Oryza sativa Japonica Group: one gene and its partner. The main gene of each other region encodes a partner of the protein of the gene in region 2 in a complex. Links are inferred from orthologs where the notes say so. Each region holds a gene or a part of one and is shown on either strand. Other genes may lie near its edges.

Region 1 (7,401 bases), on a different chromosome or scaffold from region 2:
CTTTTCTCCGGCGATGGGGCGATCGCCGTGCTGCGAGAAGGAGGGGCTCAAGAAGGGGCCATGGACGCCGGAGGAGGACCAGAAGCTGCTGGCCTACATCGAGCAGCACGGCCACGGCTGCTGGCGCTCGCTACCCTCCAAGGCCGGTAAGCGCCGCTTATCTAGCTTAAATTTCTTCTCAACCTCTGCAATCCTAGCTGCAATGTTCGGTCGAGGCGATCGATCCTCGAGGCTGGCTACTCTCTGAACTCTGATCTGAGGTGCATGCAAACCGTGACAATCGTGTGCAGGGCTGCAGCGGTGCGGCAAGAGCTGCCGACTCCGGTGGACGAACTACCTCCGGCCGGACATCAAGAGGGGCAAGTTCAGCCTGCAGGAGGAGCAGACCATCATCCAGCTCCACGCCCTTCTCGGCAACAGGTGATCGATTACTTCGTTTTCGCATGGATGCATCATGCATACAAGATACGTAGTGCACAACTCTCCCTCCTGCTAGCTGCTCGCTCGTTCTTCACCTCGCACCCGGAGCACATTTAATTCCGTAATCGCGATGGAACCCTTGATTCTCCTGCACGAATTTTGACTGCTAGTACTTGTTGCTGACCGGCAGGTCAAGAACACACTAGCCAGTAGCCACCATTCTGCACCGTAGTCTTGGCAGACATTTATGAAAGGGTTATGCAATGCAAGGGTTGGAACACGGAGCTTAGCCAGGGGATGTGTAAATTTCGCAGGCCGTGCTACTTACTTGCTGTCCCCGTACACACCTGCTTCAGCATTTTGTCCGTAACAAACCGTACTGTCCATAGATTAACACACAAGCTAGGCTAAAAATTCTTACGTTAGAACAGAATCATCACTTGTTTTCGTTTTGTTCACACGTAATGCTGCATTGCTCATCTTTTGCCCGTCGAACAACCACGCATTAGCTGTGAGCACAGACCAATCAATGCATGCATCAACAAGGGAAAAAGTGTGAAAAGGTTGGGCAGTGAGAGGCTCGGCCCAGAATTTTCCTTTCTTTTCTCCCATATGATTCGGCATTCAAGCTCGTCATTTAAGGAGGCGAGCCCCCCCATCATTGTGGACCAAAACTGGGGTTTGGTCCACTGTTGCCACCTGCCCCTCTTCCCATTTTGACTCACAGCTTCCGATCATCTCTGCCCTCTGTCTGTACTACGCCACGCACGCCTTAAATCACACCGCCGATTATTTACGTTTTCAAGAGTGCTGTTTGTTTAATTTTGTCACTGCGAATGGAGGGCTTTTGACGTGCGATTTTCCTGATCTTTTTTCTTGGCCGGCGTTGGCGTTGTTGTTGTTTTGCAGGTGGTCGGCGATCGCGACGCACCTGCCGAAGCGCACGGACAACGAGATCAAGAACTACTGGAACACGCACCTAAAGAAGCGGCTGGCCAAGATGGGGATCGACCCGGTCACGCACAAGCCGCGCTCCGACGTGGCCGGCGCGGGCGGCGGCGGCGGAGGTGCGGCCGGCGGCGCGGCGGGCGCGCAGCACGCCAAGGCCGCGGCGCACCTCAGCCACACGGCGCAGTGGGAGAGCGCGCGGCTCGAGGCGGAGGCGCGCTTGGCTCGGGAGGCCAAGCTGCGCGCGCTCGCGGCCTCCGCGACCCCGGGCGCGCCGCACCTCCCGGCACCCCCCGCGTCGGCGGCGGCGGCGGCGGCGGCTCACGGCCTCGACTCGCCGACGTCCACGCTGAGCTTCTCGGAGAGCGCGGTGCTCGCCACCGTGCTGGAGGCGCACGGCGCCGCCGCCGCGGCGGCCGCGCGCGCCGCCATGCAGCCCATGCAGGCGTACGACGAGGCGTGCAAGGACCAGCACTGGGGCGACGTCGACGCCGCCGACGTGGGCTTCCCCGGCGCCGGAGCGGGGTTCACGGGCCTACTCCTCGAAGGCTCCTTGAACCAGATCCCGAGGCCGGCGGGGAGAGACGCGGAAGCCGACGGCGAGTTCCAGGAGACCGAGGAGGAGAAGAACTACTGGAACAGCATACTGAACCTGGTGAACTCCTCGTCGGCACCTATGTCGACGGCCGTGGTTGTGCCCGCCTCCCACGCGTACTCGCCGGCGCCGGACTTCTGAGCGGAGAAAACCTCGCCGGCATCAAACTTGATTCGATCTCATGACACAGTAAATAGTTTAGCAATGATTGTCGAATAAGATGGGACTAATATTAATGTTAGTAATTATTAATCACGTTCTTGGGTTAACCTGACAATGCTTTCGATTAAACTTGTGGGCAAGAACTTCAACTGTTCAAGGCTGTATCGACATTTGAAATTCGATGCTTGTTTTGTTCGGTGTTCTTATAGAATGTGTAAAACACTGAAACTACTATCAGAGAATGTAGCATCCTTACTTGCAAAGTTACTACTCCTGCTTGTTTTTTTTCAAAACTTACGATCATTTCAGTACTTTGTACCCGGTTCATTTCATTCCACTATCAGTTTTTACTACGCCCAAGCGGTTGGCAACTGGGCACTAGCACTACTGAAGGCCAGGGTTTCCCAAACCACCGGACCGGGGTTACCACACGGTAACCGTGTAAAATTTATCAAAATTTAAAATTATTTTTTAAATTTATTTGAATTTAAGGGGGTTACCGCGGTTTCCCTTTTACCGTACCCCACGGTAAGCGCGGTAATCGCACGGTTACAGACGGTTTTGCAAACCCTGCTGAAGGCAAACGGACGGCCTCATCTTTTCGCTTATACTTATGTTTATCAGTCAAAATTTAAATTTTTACCTTTAAATTTGGGGTTGATTTTATTTTTTTTATCGAAGGTTTATTTTTCAGTCTTTGCTTTTAGATCGTTAAAAATATATATATAAAAGATTTATTCACAAATTATTTTTTATTTACAAATATGCCATTTCGTTTATTCTCGAATAACCGAGACGATTGAGCTGTGAGCTTTTTACTTAGATTGGATCTGGGCCGGGCCGTTTTGTGCTGGGCCATATTGGGCTTTACCATAACTTTCTAGCCCACATCTAATAGCTGACGAGAAGGGGATTATTAAGGGTAAAGATAAGAGGAGGCAGCCCCGCACCATCGTCTTCCTCCTCTTATCCGCACAGGAGCCTCGGACTCGGACACGATGCTGGCGATGTCCGTCCACCCCGCCGCCACGCCGGCCCTCGCCTCGCGCGCCCGCATCTCCCGGCCCAAGCTTTCCGCCGCCTCCCCCTGCACCACCTCCTCCTCCTCCACTCCACGCCTCGTCCACCTCGGCAGCAGGAGGCTTCCCCTTCGCTCGCTCCGTGGCCTCGCCGCCGCCGCCGCTTCTGGCGCCGTCGAAGCGGAGGAGGGAGAAGAGGAGAAGCAAGTCGGAGGTGGGGATGCGAGCGCCGGCGAGGAAGCGCAGGAGGTAATGGGCTAGTAGCCGCTCCAAACCATGCCAGTGACTGAAATTACGGGGTTTTTTTTTTTACCGAGTCGAGCTCAATTTCAGAAGGAAGTGTTGTTTTTTGAAGAGGATGGAGTTCAATCACATTTGGTTTCGCATGAATTTGATTTTTCTTGAATCAATTTTGGTTACCGAACTGATTACTTGAGCTCATAGGTGAAATACAGTACGAGGTGTACATTTGGGTGAATTCACGAGTAGAGTAAATCTTTAGACACAATGCACAGCTGAAAGCTTAAGAGAAGTCACAAGTAGAGTAAATTAGAGAAGTTCTAGTCTAGTTGAGCATGTTTGGGCACTCGGGCTGTCCTTTTGGTGCAGTTTTGCACTTCTGCAGATAAAAGGTGTATGCTAGTGATGAAGAGGCGAAGAGCACATGAAAGCATGTCCACAAACTTGAGCGTGTGCCATTTTTGGTTGTATGTGTAAGCAAGAACTGAACTATTGAACAAACTGTAGCATTGACAGGTTTTGGTCATGAAAGGAGTTTTTTTTCATTCAGCTATTTACGTGATTATGTAACAACATTAACAGGCACAATAAGTTCCTTTTTCATCACTATATCAGATTTCAGAGATGTACACTAAAAGTGGATTAGTTTTGATTATATGGGAGTTACCCTCACAGTTGAAAAATGGGGCCTTTTGTAGAGAAATGAAGTTGTCAATGGAACACGTACAGTAGTTGTTGCAATTTATTTTACTACGACTTGAGCTGTGTTAAAACTGCACAATTTATTTTACTCAGATATGCAAAATCAGTATTAGCATTATGAGATTTGAAACGAATTGATTTTGTATCGCAGTACAAGGTTAAGGTGCCTGAAAGGCAGGATCCAATGCTTGTTCTGAAGTTCATATGGATGGAGAAGAACATTGGCATAGCCCTCGACCAGTTGGTTCCCGGCTATGGCAGCATTCCGTTAAGCCCATACTACTTCTGGCCACGGAAAGATGCCTGGGAGGAGCTAAGAGCAAAGCTGGAGGAGAAAGAGTGGATCTCTCAGAAACAGATGATCATCCTTCTGAATCAGGCCACTGATATCATCAACCTTTGGCAACAGGGTGGTGGCAGCTTGTCAACCTAAGAGGATATCTCAATTCTCCCATCCTTGAGAACCTTGTTTCTTTTTTTCTTGCTTTGGTTACACGGATCTTTGTTGTTACATGACCCTGTAGATCGATTCAAACTGTTTTCGGATACGGTTTTGTTTATGGAAATGAATTGTGATTGATCTCTGTAAGGTAAACGATTTGGGCTCCATCATCCGCAGGGAAGATTGCTAATACCTCTTGATACTACTATACCATGATCCAGTTAAATAAATGTAACTCGATATTTTGAACTTGAAGAAAAAGGGGAATTTCTTTTCTTTCGAAGAGATTTGGGGTCACGGGGGCATATACCCCTTCTACTGCGATTAACTAACACCGGTGATGCCCTGAAAAAGCCCGGCCCGCTCCGCGCACCACGAGCCTAGGCCGTCCACGCGTAGGCCTCTGCAAAACGGGCTGCGGCAACGCGTGAGCCTGTGCGAAACGAGCGTGAAAACGCTCGTGGACTCGTGGAGTCGTCGTGGTGCCCGCGCGTCGTGCTGCGACGCTCGTTCTCACGCCGCATGCAGCGCCGCGCCAGCTTGGTCACGGTCTCAAAAGCGTTCAAAAGGCATGGGAGCAACTGAGCAAGGCGTAGCAGCTTATCATCATCTCGGCCAAGGGGGGAGGAGGGGCAAGGCACATGGAGGCGTTGGGTTGGAGTTGGACCTCCTAGGTAGGGAAGCAGGAAGCTGGACTCGCTAGGAAAAAAAATAATGGAGAACCTGTACCGCGTGTACCAGAAGATAAGCTTATTTAGCAGTACTGATTTTTTTTTTTCTAATGAAAGGAAACAGAGTATTGTTAAGTCCCAAAGAGATAACTTATTTTTTTCCTCTTCGACAACGTAGTACTAACTTAGTACTAGTACTGTTTTCTATGATCAAAGTAGAATATTGTTAAGCTAGCTAGCACTACCAACTGTCCTCCCATAAGAAAAAGGTAAGTACTACTACTATAGTAGAGACTGACCAATCAACTCAATTGTGTAATGCACTGCTCAGATGGCATCTTTACCTTCTTAACACTCAACTTCCTTACAGAGTAACGTGCCGCTTTAGGCTTTATTACTTGCGATAACCGGAGAGAGAGGCTGGCAAAGTATACGTAGCTTCCCTATAAAGTTGTCCAAGTTCATCGCAGAGCTCCAGGCAGGCAGTATAAAAATGGGAAATGTACACCTGAAAAGGACGAATCAGCCCCATTTGGGAATCCCCTGCACGGCGTCAATCTCGTCATCTTGCCCTTTTCTTCCCATCGACCTGATGATTGACACTTGTGGCCTCTGGGGATTAAACTATTGCCACCATGGGCGATCGATCGATCGAGATTAGAGCAAGTATAATAGTGAGCTATAAGAAAGCTGAATGCTGAAGTGGATAGGAGAAAAGAGGAGAGAGATGAGAAGCGGGCTGTAAGTTTACAGCCGGCTTAGGCACAGGAACCAAGAAAATCTGTGAGACAGACATGTGAACCATATATTTATAGTGAAGAGTTAACCATTATACGAGTGAGCTGATAGATAGGCTATAAGTAAGCAGCTGGCTGTATTATTATCCTTTCTCTTAGGACGTTTTCGACATGATCAGGTGGTCTTTGTCTCTTATTTTTAAGGGGAGGCTGAGTCAGATAAGCACGGCGGTTTGGTGAGGCATCACCCCGTGGTGCTCACATGCATGGGTTCCACCATGAATTGGATCTCTAAAACCTAGTTTTGTTCGAGCTGCCATGTTTAGTACTACTTCATCAAATTAAAAGTTCCGGTGTACGGATCCGCTGCTGTCCTAGTCCTAGATCGATCCTCTGTGTCACGCTTATGGCCTGCACTGCCGTGAGTTTGGCAAAGAAAACCGTTTGGGATACTCACATATTCACAGTACAGCTTGTTCGATCTCTCCCATGGCTATGTAATTGTGTGTTTGATTATTTTAAAACAAAGGGAAGGATATTGGGTTTTAGCTTTAGTCATGTAAAAAGAAATGGTTTTATATATTTACCGAATCATGATGCATCTGCGGAGATAGTAACGAAAAAACACTCATCTAAATAAGCAAGTACATTAACAAGCGGCATAGGAGTGGAACGGATCAACTTGAGGTGATCAATATAAAGGGGGTTATCACGAGTACCATTAATAAAAGCACATCTATTCACGTGAACTCGACCTCTCAGCCCATTTGGTAGGTCAGAAAAGCGGACCTAAAACAAATATGCACTGTGGCTTGATTCGCCAGCTGGATCCAAACTGTCGAGACAATATTATAAAGAGTAAAGTCCATCACCGGTCCCTAAACTTTTACCGCTGTGTCATCCCGGTCCCTAAACTCGCAAATCGACCGTTTAGGTCCTCAAACTTGTTCGACTGTGTCATCCCGTCCCTAAACTTGCAGATCACTCGTTTAGGTCCACAAACTTGTTCAGTTGTGTCACCCCGGTCCCTAAACTTGGATTTGAATATCATCTGGATCAAATAGGACGGTCTAAAGACTTTATATTTAAAAATAATTCATAACTTTTTCATGTGAACTCTAATGAAGATAAACTTTATATCGAACTTGTAGCCCTCGACGCGATCTACACCTTTGTAGTTGAATTTTTTTTATTATAAGTCATTTTTTGTCCCAAAATGTAATATTAAAATTAAAATTTCAAAATCTATAAACATGCAACAATATTTTGGGACCCTAAACAGTTTTAATTCAAAAACTTTTCAACTACAAAGTTGTAGGTCGCGTCGAGGGCTACAATTTTGATATAAAGTTTGTCTTCATTAGAGTTCACATGAAAAAGTTATGAATTATTTTTTGATATAAAGTTTTTAGACCGTCCTGTTTAGGGACCGGGGTGACACAACTGAACAAGTTGGAGAACCTAA
Region 2 (6,332 bases):
ATTAATAGGCTCACGATTCGACTTTGATCGTTATGGATTGGTACCAAGATCAAGTCCTAGGCAAGCGGACCTAATTTTAACAGCCGGTACAGTAACAATGAAAATGGCTCCCTCTTTAGTGAGATTATATGAGCAAATGCCTGAACCAAAATACGTCATTGCTATGGGAGCTTGTACTATTACTGGTGGAATGTTCAGTACGGATTCCTATAGTACTGTTCGGGGAGTTGATAAGTTAATTCCTGTGGACGTCTACTTGCCGGGTTGCCCACCTAAACCAGAGGCTGTTATAGATGCCCTAACAAAACTTCGTAAGAAGATATCGCGAGAAATAGTTGAGGATCGAACTCTATCTCAAAAGAAAAATCGATGTTTTACTACCAGCCACAAGCTTTATGTTCGGCGCAGTACTAATACTGGAACTTATGAGCAAGAATTGCTCTATCAATCACCATCTACTTTAGACATATCTTCTGAAACTTTTTTCAAATCCAAAAGTCCAGTATCTTCCTACAAATTAGTGAATTAGGAGGAGCTCTTTGTGCCGAAAAAGAAAGAGCAGGGCAATATTTCAAACTTGCATTCGAACTGCGAAATATTTATACAAAGGAGGAGAGATCAAGATAATGCAGCAGGGTTGGTTATCTAATTGGCTAGTCAAACATGAGGTGGTTCATAGATCTTTGGGCTTCGATCATCGAGGAATAGAGACTTTGCAAATAAAAGCAGAGGATTGGGATTCCATTGCTGTCATTTTATATGTATATGGTTACAATTATTTACGTTCCCAATGTGCTTATGACGTTGCACCCGGTGGATCTTTAGCTAGCGTGTATCATCTTACGAGAATACAGTATGGTATAGATAACCCAGAAGAAGTATGCATAAAAGTCTTTGCCCAAAAGGATAATCCTAGAATCCCATCTGTCTTCTGGATTTGGAGAAGTTCCGATTTTCAAGAACGCGAATCTTTTGATATGGTGGGAATCTCTTATGATAATCATCCACGCCTTAAACGTATCCTAATGCCTGAAAGTTGGATAGGCTGGCCCTTACGTAAGGACTATATAACCCCCAATTTCTATGAAATACAAGATGCTCATTGAATGATAAGAAATTCATGCTCACTTATACAACACAACTCCAGATTTTATGCAAGTCAAGGAATATTTTTACGCTCTGTTCCTAGATGAAACAGAATACCTATTACATTCTAATTAATTCCAATTATACAAAAGGTTCAGATAGACTAAGCAAAAAAGGGCTTCATTTCGTTGGAAAATCACATATTCATTTCCTTCGTATGAACAGAAAAATATGATGACTCAAAGAAGTTCCCTACCACGAACTTTGTACCGCGTGCATTACTTAGAACAACTAGTAAAGTAAGATAAGATAAGCAAGAATAAAAAAATATTTGTCGGAATAGCGGAATAGAAAATTAAGAAATGCAAAAATGCAGAAAAAGAAGTGCCTCTATTTAGAGATTTATCTACTTAGATGAAAAAATCATACTCTATCTATATTATTAACGAATATGTATCCCAACCCATCTCGAGGTATTTGTATCAATACCTATTCGGAAGATCCCTTTTTTCTGTGCCAGGAACCAGATTTGAACTGGTGACACGAGGATTTTCAGTCCTCTGCTCTACCAACTGAGCTATCCTGACCTTTTCTTGTGCATCATCCTAGTAGAGTATTTGTATCTATGTCAATATCCAAAATTTGGAAATGGGGAGGGGGCAGTCCTATGCATTGTACAAAGAAAGCCTATTTAATAATATTTAAATATCGAGTTAATAATCGACATTCCTTGCCGATACTATAATAAAAAAGAAATGTATTCCATTGAATCTTAAACCTATTAATAAAAAAACAGGATAAATACTAGAGTTAGGAATAAAAGAGGGTTTGGGGATAGAGGGACTTGAACCCTCACGACTTAGAAAGTCGACGGATTTTGCTTTTACTAGAAATTTCATTGTTGTCAGTATTGACATGTAGAATGGGACTCTCTCTTTATCCTCGTCCGATTAATCCGCTTTTAAAAAGATTTCGAAAACTATGAATTGAAGGATTTGATTACTCAATATTCGATTGGAATGGATTCACAACAATTCTAAAAAAATTATGAATTTTCTATTTCATAATCATTCCTATTTTCATTTTAAAAAAGAATTAAAGAACCTATATTATGATATGAGTTCTGTGATTAATCGTTTGCTATGCCAGTATCTATACGTGGTATTAGATTTCGAAAGCCCTTCTTTCCCTAATTTAGAAGGGAGTTCCGCTAGCAACACAACGTAATTAACTCGATTCGTTAGAACAGCTTCCATTGAGTCTCTGCACCTATCCTTTTCCTTTGGGTTCTAGTTCGAGAACCGCTTGTTTTCTCAAAACATGGATTTGGCTCAGGATTGCCCCTTTTTTAATTCCAGGGTTTCTCTGAATTTGGAAGTTGCCACTTAGCAGGTTTCCATACCAAGGCTCAATACAATCAAGTCCGTAGCGTCTACCGATTTCGCCATATCCCCATTTTCTTTTTCTTTGAGACCAGGATTCCTTGTGCAATTTCCTCCATCTGTTAGTTTTTTTTGAATCGTTGAATTCATTACTCTATGTAGTCTAGCGGTTCGTCTCTAGTTGAGAGACTCCGCTTATTGCAATTCAGCATTGAATTGATTCTATCGTTGATGTATTTGCAATTCAATGCGAATCAATATATCCCAAGGTTTTTCTCTCCCCCACCTACCGCGTTCCTTTTTTAGAGTATTCAAAATCATACTATAACGCTTGATATTCATTCTTTTTTTTTGCTAATCAGAATTAGCAATTTCATTTGCTATGATTCTATGTTCTCCTTAGTGAAATATTAATCATTAAATTATTAGCAAATAACAAAAAAAAACAAAATAATCTCAAAAAATGTCTATAATGATGGACTGAAAATACAAGAAATTCGCATGTTCTCTTTATTATGTTTTCGTATATAATATATATTATTTATTCTTTTCCATGTATTAGATTATTCGTCCGAGCCATATCAAATTAAAAATATCTAAAATCAAATTCAATATAGAAATTGGAATAGATTCTATTAGAAAAATAGATTTGCGAATTAGAGAAAAAAGAAAGTTCAAAAAAATCTATCTAACTTTATTTTATGAAGTTCTAGTATTTTTTTCTAAGTAGAACTTCCAATTTCGAACTAGTTAATAGCTAAGATTAATAATTAAGATCTGACATTTTACGGATTTCCTATACTATACATATTTCTATTTGTTACACTATTTCTGTTATGTAAGCCCACTTAGCTCAGAGGTTAGAGCATCGCATTTGTAATGCGAGGGTCATCGGTTCAAATCCGATAGTCGGCTTTTTTCTCTATCAATGTTCCATGAACAAAAATACCTCTTTTTCTCCGAATTAAATGGAGAAGCCAGGATCTATTATGTCGGTCTACCCTACAATTTTGCTAGATACAAAACAATAAAATAAATAATATATATACAAAAATTCAGATGTTGATGAAATTCCATTTTTTTGTGGTACTTTTAGTAGATTTTACTCTGTTTATCCTTTACTTTAATTCAGTTTTAATTTCGATGTATTCTGTAATGTAAATACAATGAAATTAATTGTGTAAAATGAAATTTCAATAAAAAAAGGAGTCTTCATGTCCCGTTATCGAGGACCTCGTTTTAAAAAAATACGCCGTCTGGGAGCTTTACCAGGACTCACTAGAAAAACACCTAAATCCGGAAGTAATCTGAAAAAGAAATTCCATTCTGGGAAAAAAGAACAATATCGTATTCGTCTTCAAGAAAAACAGAAATTGCGTTTTCATTATGGTCTGACAGAACGACAATTACTTAGATATGTACATATCGCTGGAAAAGCAAAAAGTTCAACAGGTCAGGTTTTACTACAATTACTTGAAATGCGTTTGGATAATATCCTTTTTCGATTAGGTATGGCTTCAACCATTCCCGAGGCCCGGCAATTAGTTAACCATAGACATATTTTAGTTAATGGTCGTATAGTCGATATACCAAGTTTTCGTTGCAAACCCCGAGATATTATTACTACGAAGGATAACCAAAGATCAAAACGTCTGGTTCAAAATTCTATTGCTTCATCCGACCCGGGGAAATTGCCAAAGCATTTGACGATTGACACATTGCAATATAAAGGACTAGTAAAAAAAATCCTGGATAGGAAGTGGGTCGGTCTCAAAATAAATGAGTTGTTAGTTGTAGAATATTACTCTCGTCAAACTTGAACTTAAGGAAAAACGGAAAGGTTCATAGAATTTTTCTTCCCTTCCCCTTTCCCCGAACTAAATCGACCTAAGGCTCTTAATTCGTATTTTCCCATTCACCTAACAGAAATGGATTAACCCTAGGATTCCTTTTTGTTTTTTGTTCTTTCCTCTATGTGTATTTTACATACCATAGTAATTTGGTATAGAGAATTTCTATTAAATAAAGGTATTGTATTATTGCTGGAATAAATTGTCATTTGATTTGATACATTGTAATCATTAACGTTGCTGAATTAAGAAAAACGGAAAGAGAGGGATTCGAACCCTCGGTAAACAAAAGTCTACATAGCAGTTCCAATGCTACGCCTTGAACCGCTCGGCCATCTCTCCTCCATAATCTTATTATGGAAAAAAAACTGAGTGAATAGCGAGTTTTCCTATTCCTGCAGTACAGGTACAACCACAACCGCGCGAGAGTTCCATTGTTCTATTAGATAGAAAAATTCCTTTTCATCTAAGTGGACGGGTCCAGGATTTTTTTACTAGGAATTCCGCTCCCTCGAAAAGTTTTAGTTTGGGTTTTCCCCAAACCAAAGAAAAAGAGAATGGAAGAATTCTTCTTATTCGATAAAAAAGGAACCCTAGAATTCTGTTTGCATAAGGTATCCTACCCCATACAATCAAATAGAAAATAGGGTATGGGACGATTAATGACTTTTGAAAATGCGAAATAGTTGATGAGAGAAGTTGTTGTTGAGAAAAGAAATAGGAAAGTGGAATGAAATCCAATCTTAGTCAAATATTTTCTATCTCTTCTTGTTCAAACAGAAGGAAAAAGAGAGAATTTGGGCTGAGCAGAAATACCTCTCTTATCCATTTGGAGCATAGGGATCGATTTGATAAGAATTGAATGGATTTGTTTTTTTTTTATGTTATTTTGTGAAGGAATGAAAAGAATTCTATATAGAATGATAGAATGGGTTGGGAATTATGCCTAGATCCCGTATAAATGGAAATTTCATTGATAAGACCTTCTCAATTGTAGCCAATATTTTATTGCGAATAATTCCGACAACCTCCGGGGAAAAAAGGGCATTTACTTATTATAGAGATGGTGCGATTTGACTCTTTTTTTTGTTTTTTTAGCCCTACCTACACCCCGGTTTTAACGAGAAAAGAGTGGGGGGTTCGCGGAGAGAAAAACCAAATTAGTAAGGGAACCACGCTTAGGGAAGGTGAGGTGAACTAACAACTCCTTCTGTCGTGTATCCTCGACTGACGCGGCCTCGGATGCTTCAATTGTAGATTTTAGTATTGAGCGAAAGGTTACACCTACAGGATAGGTTCTGTATTACAGGCTAATCCTACTCTACTAGTACTAATAGGTAGCATAGGGGATAAAAGCACTACACCTAGAAATAGGAATCAACAAGAGAAAAACTTTGTTAGAAATTAACCCTTTCCTGATTGGTATCAGGGCTGGGAAGAATGGTTGGGATAACAAACAACCATCAAGTTTGTACTTTGGATACCCCTATAACCATCAAAGATCGTTGAAGTGGCTAATTCCTCTAAATAGGAGGCGTTGAGAACAAAGAAATTCTTGGAGCTATCGTTTTCCTCTAGCATTAATAGAATTCATTGGTGTTAAGAAAAACCTCTTGTGGGAAGGTTGGCTAGAGATTTCTTGGAAAAATTACCAGCCCCTTTCGGTCCATAATGAGATGGAACTAATTCTATTTTTATTCTCTAGATTTTTTCGCTTAGTACTATGTACAGAAGGGAGGAGCCGTATGAGGTGAAAACCTCATGTACGGTTTTGGAACGGAGATTTTTTGAATAGAACGAACGACCGTAACGGATGTTGGCTCAATCCGAAGGAAATTATGCGGAAGCTTTGCAAAATTATTATGAAGCTACGCGACTAGAAAGTGATCCCTATGATCGAAGTTATATACTCTATAACATAGGCCTTATACACACAAGCAATGGAGAGCATACAAAGGCTTTGGAATATTATTTCCGGGCACTAGAACGAAACCCCTTCTTACCACAAGCTTTT

The links. The genes of interacting proteins can lie anywhere in the genome.
Region 1: rps4 (region 2) and small ribosomal subunit protein cS23 share a complex: the UniProt entries of both Arabidopsis thaliana proteins name them as parts of the 30S ribosomal subunit. The link is inferred for Oryza sativa Japonica Group from reciprocal best matches to the Arabidopsis thaliana genes rps4 and PSRP3/1.

Annotation. Positions count from the first base shown.
Region 1 is NC_089038.1:23,518,507-23,525,907, forward strand, and holds small ribosomal subunit protein cS23, read left to right. Parts: upstream 1-3,071; 5' UTR 3,072-3,123; coding exon 3,124-3,393; intron 3,394-4,237; coding exon 4,238-4,519; 3' UTR 4,520-4,681; downstream 4,682-7,401. Other genes in the region: transcription factor MYB106, read left to right, coding at 14-146, 291-420, 1,330-2,104. UniProt on the Arabidopsis thaliana protein: Component of the chloroplast ribosome (chloro-ribosome), a dedicated translation machinery responsible for the synthesis of chloroplast genome-encoded proteins, including proteins of the transcription and translation machinery and components of the photosynthetic apparatus.
Region 2 is NC_001320.1:42,766-49,097, reverse strand, and holds rps4 (ribosomal protein S4), read left to right. Parts: upstream 1-3,682; coding exon 3,683-4,288; downstream 4,289-6,332. Other genes in the region: ndhK (NADH dehydrogenase subunit K), read left to right, coding at 1-529; ndhJ (NADH dehydrogenase subunit J), read left to right, coding at 627-1,106; photosystem I assembly protein Ycf3, read left to right, coding at 5,261-5,384, 6,130-6,332. UniProt on the Arabidopsis thaliana protein: One of the primary rRNA binding proteins, it binds directly to 16S rRNA where it nucleates assembly of the body of the 30S subunit. With S5 and S12 plays an important role in translational accuracy.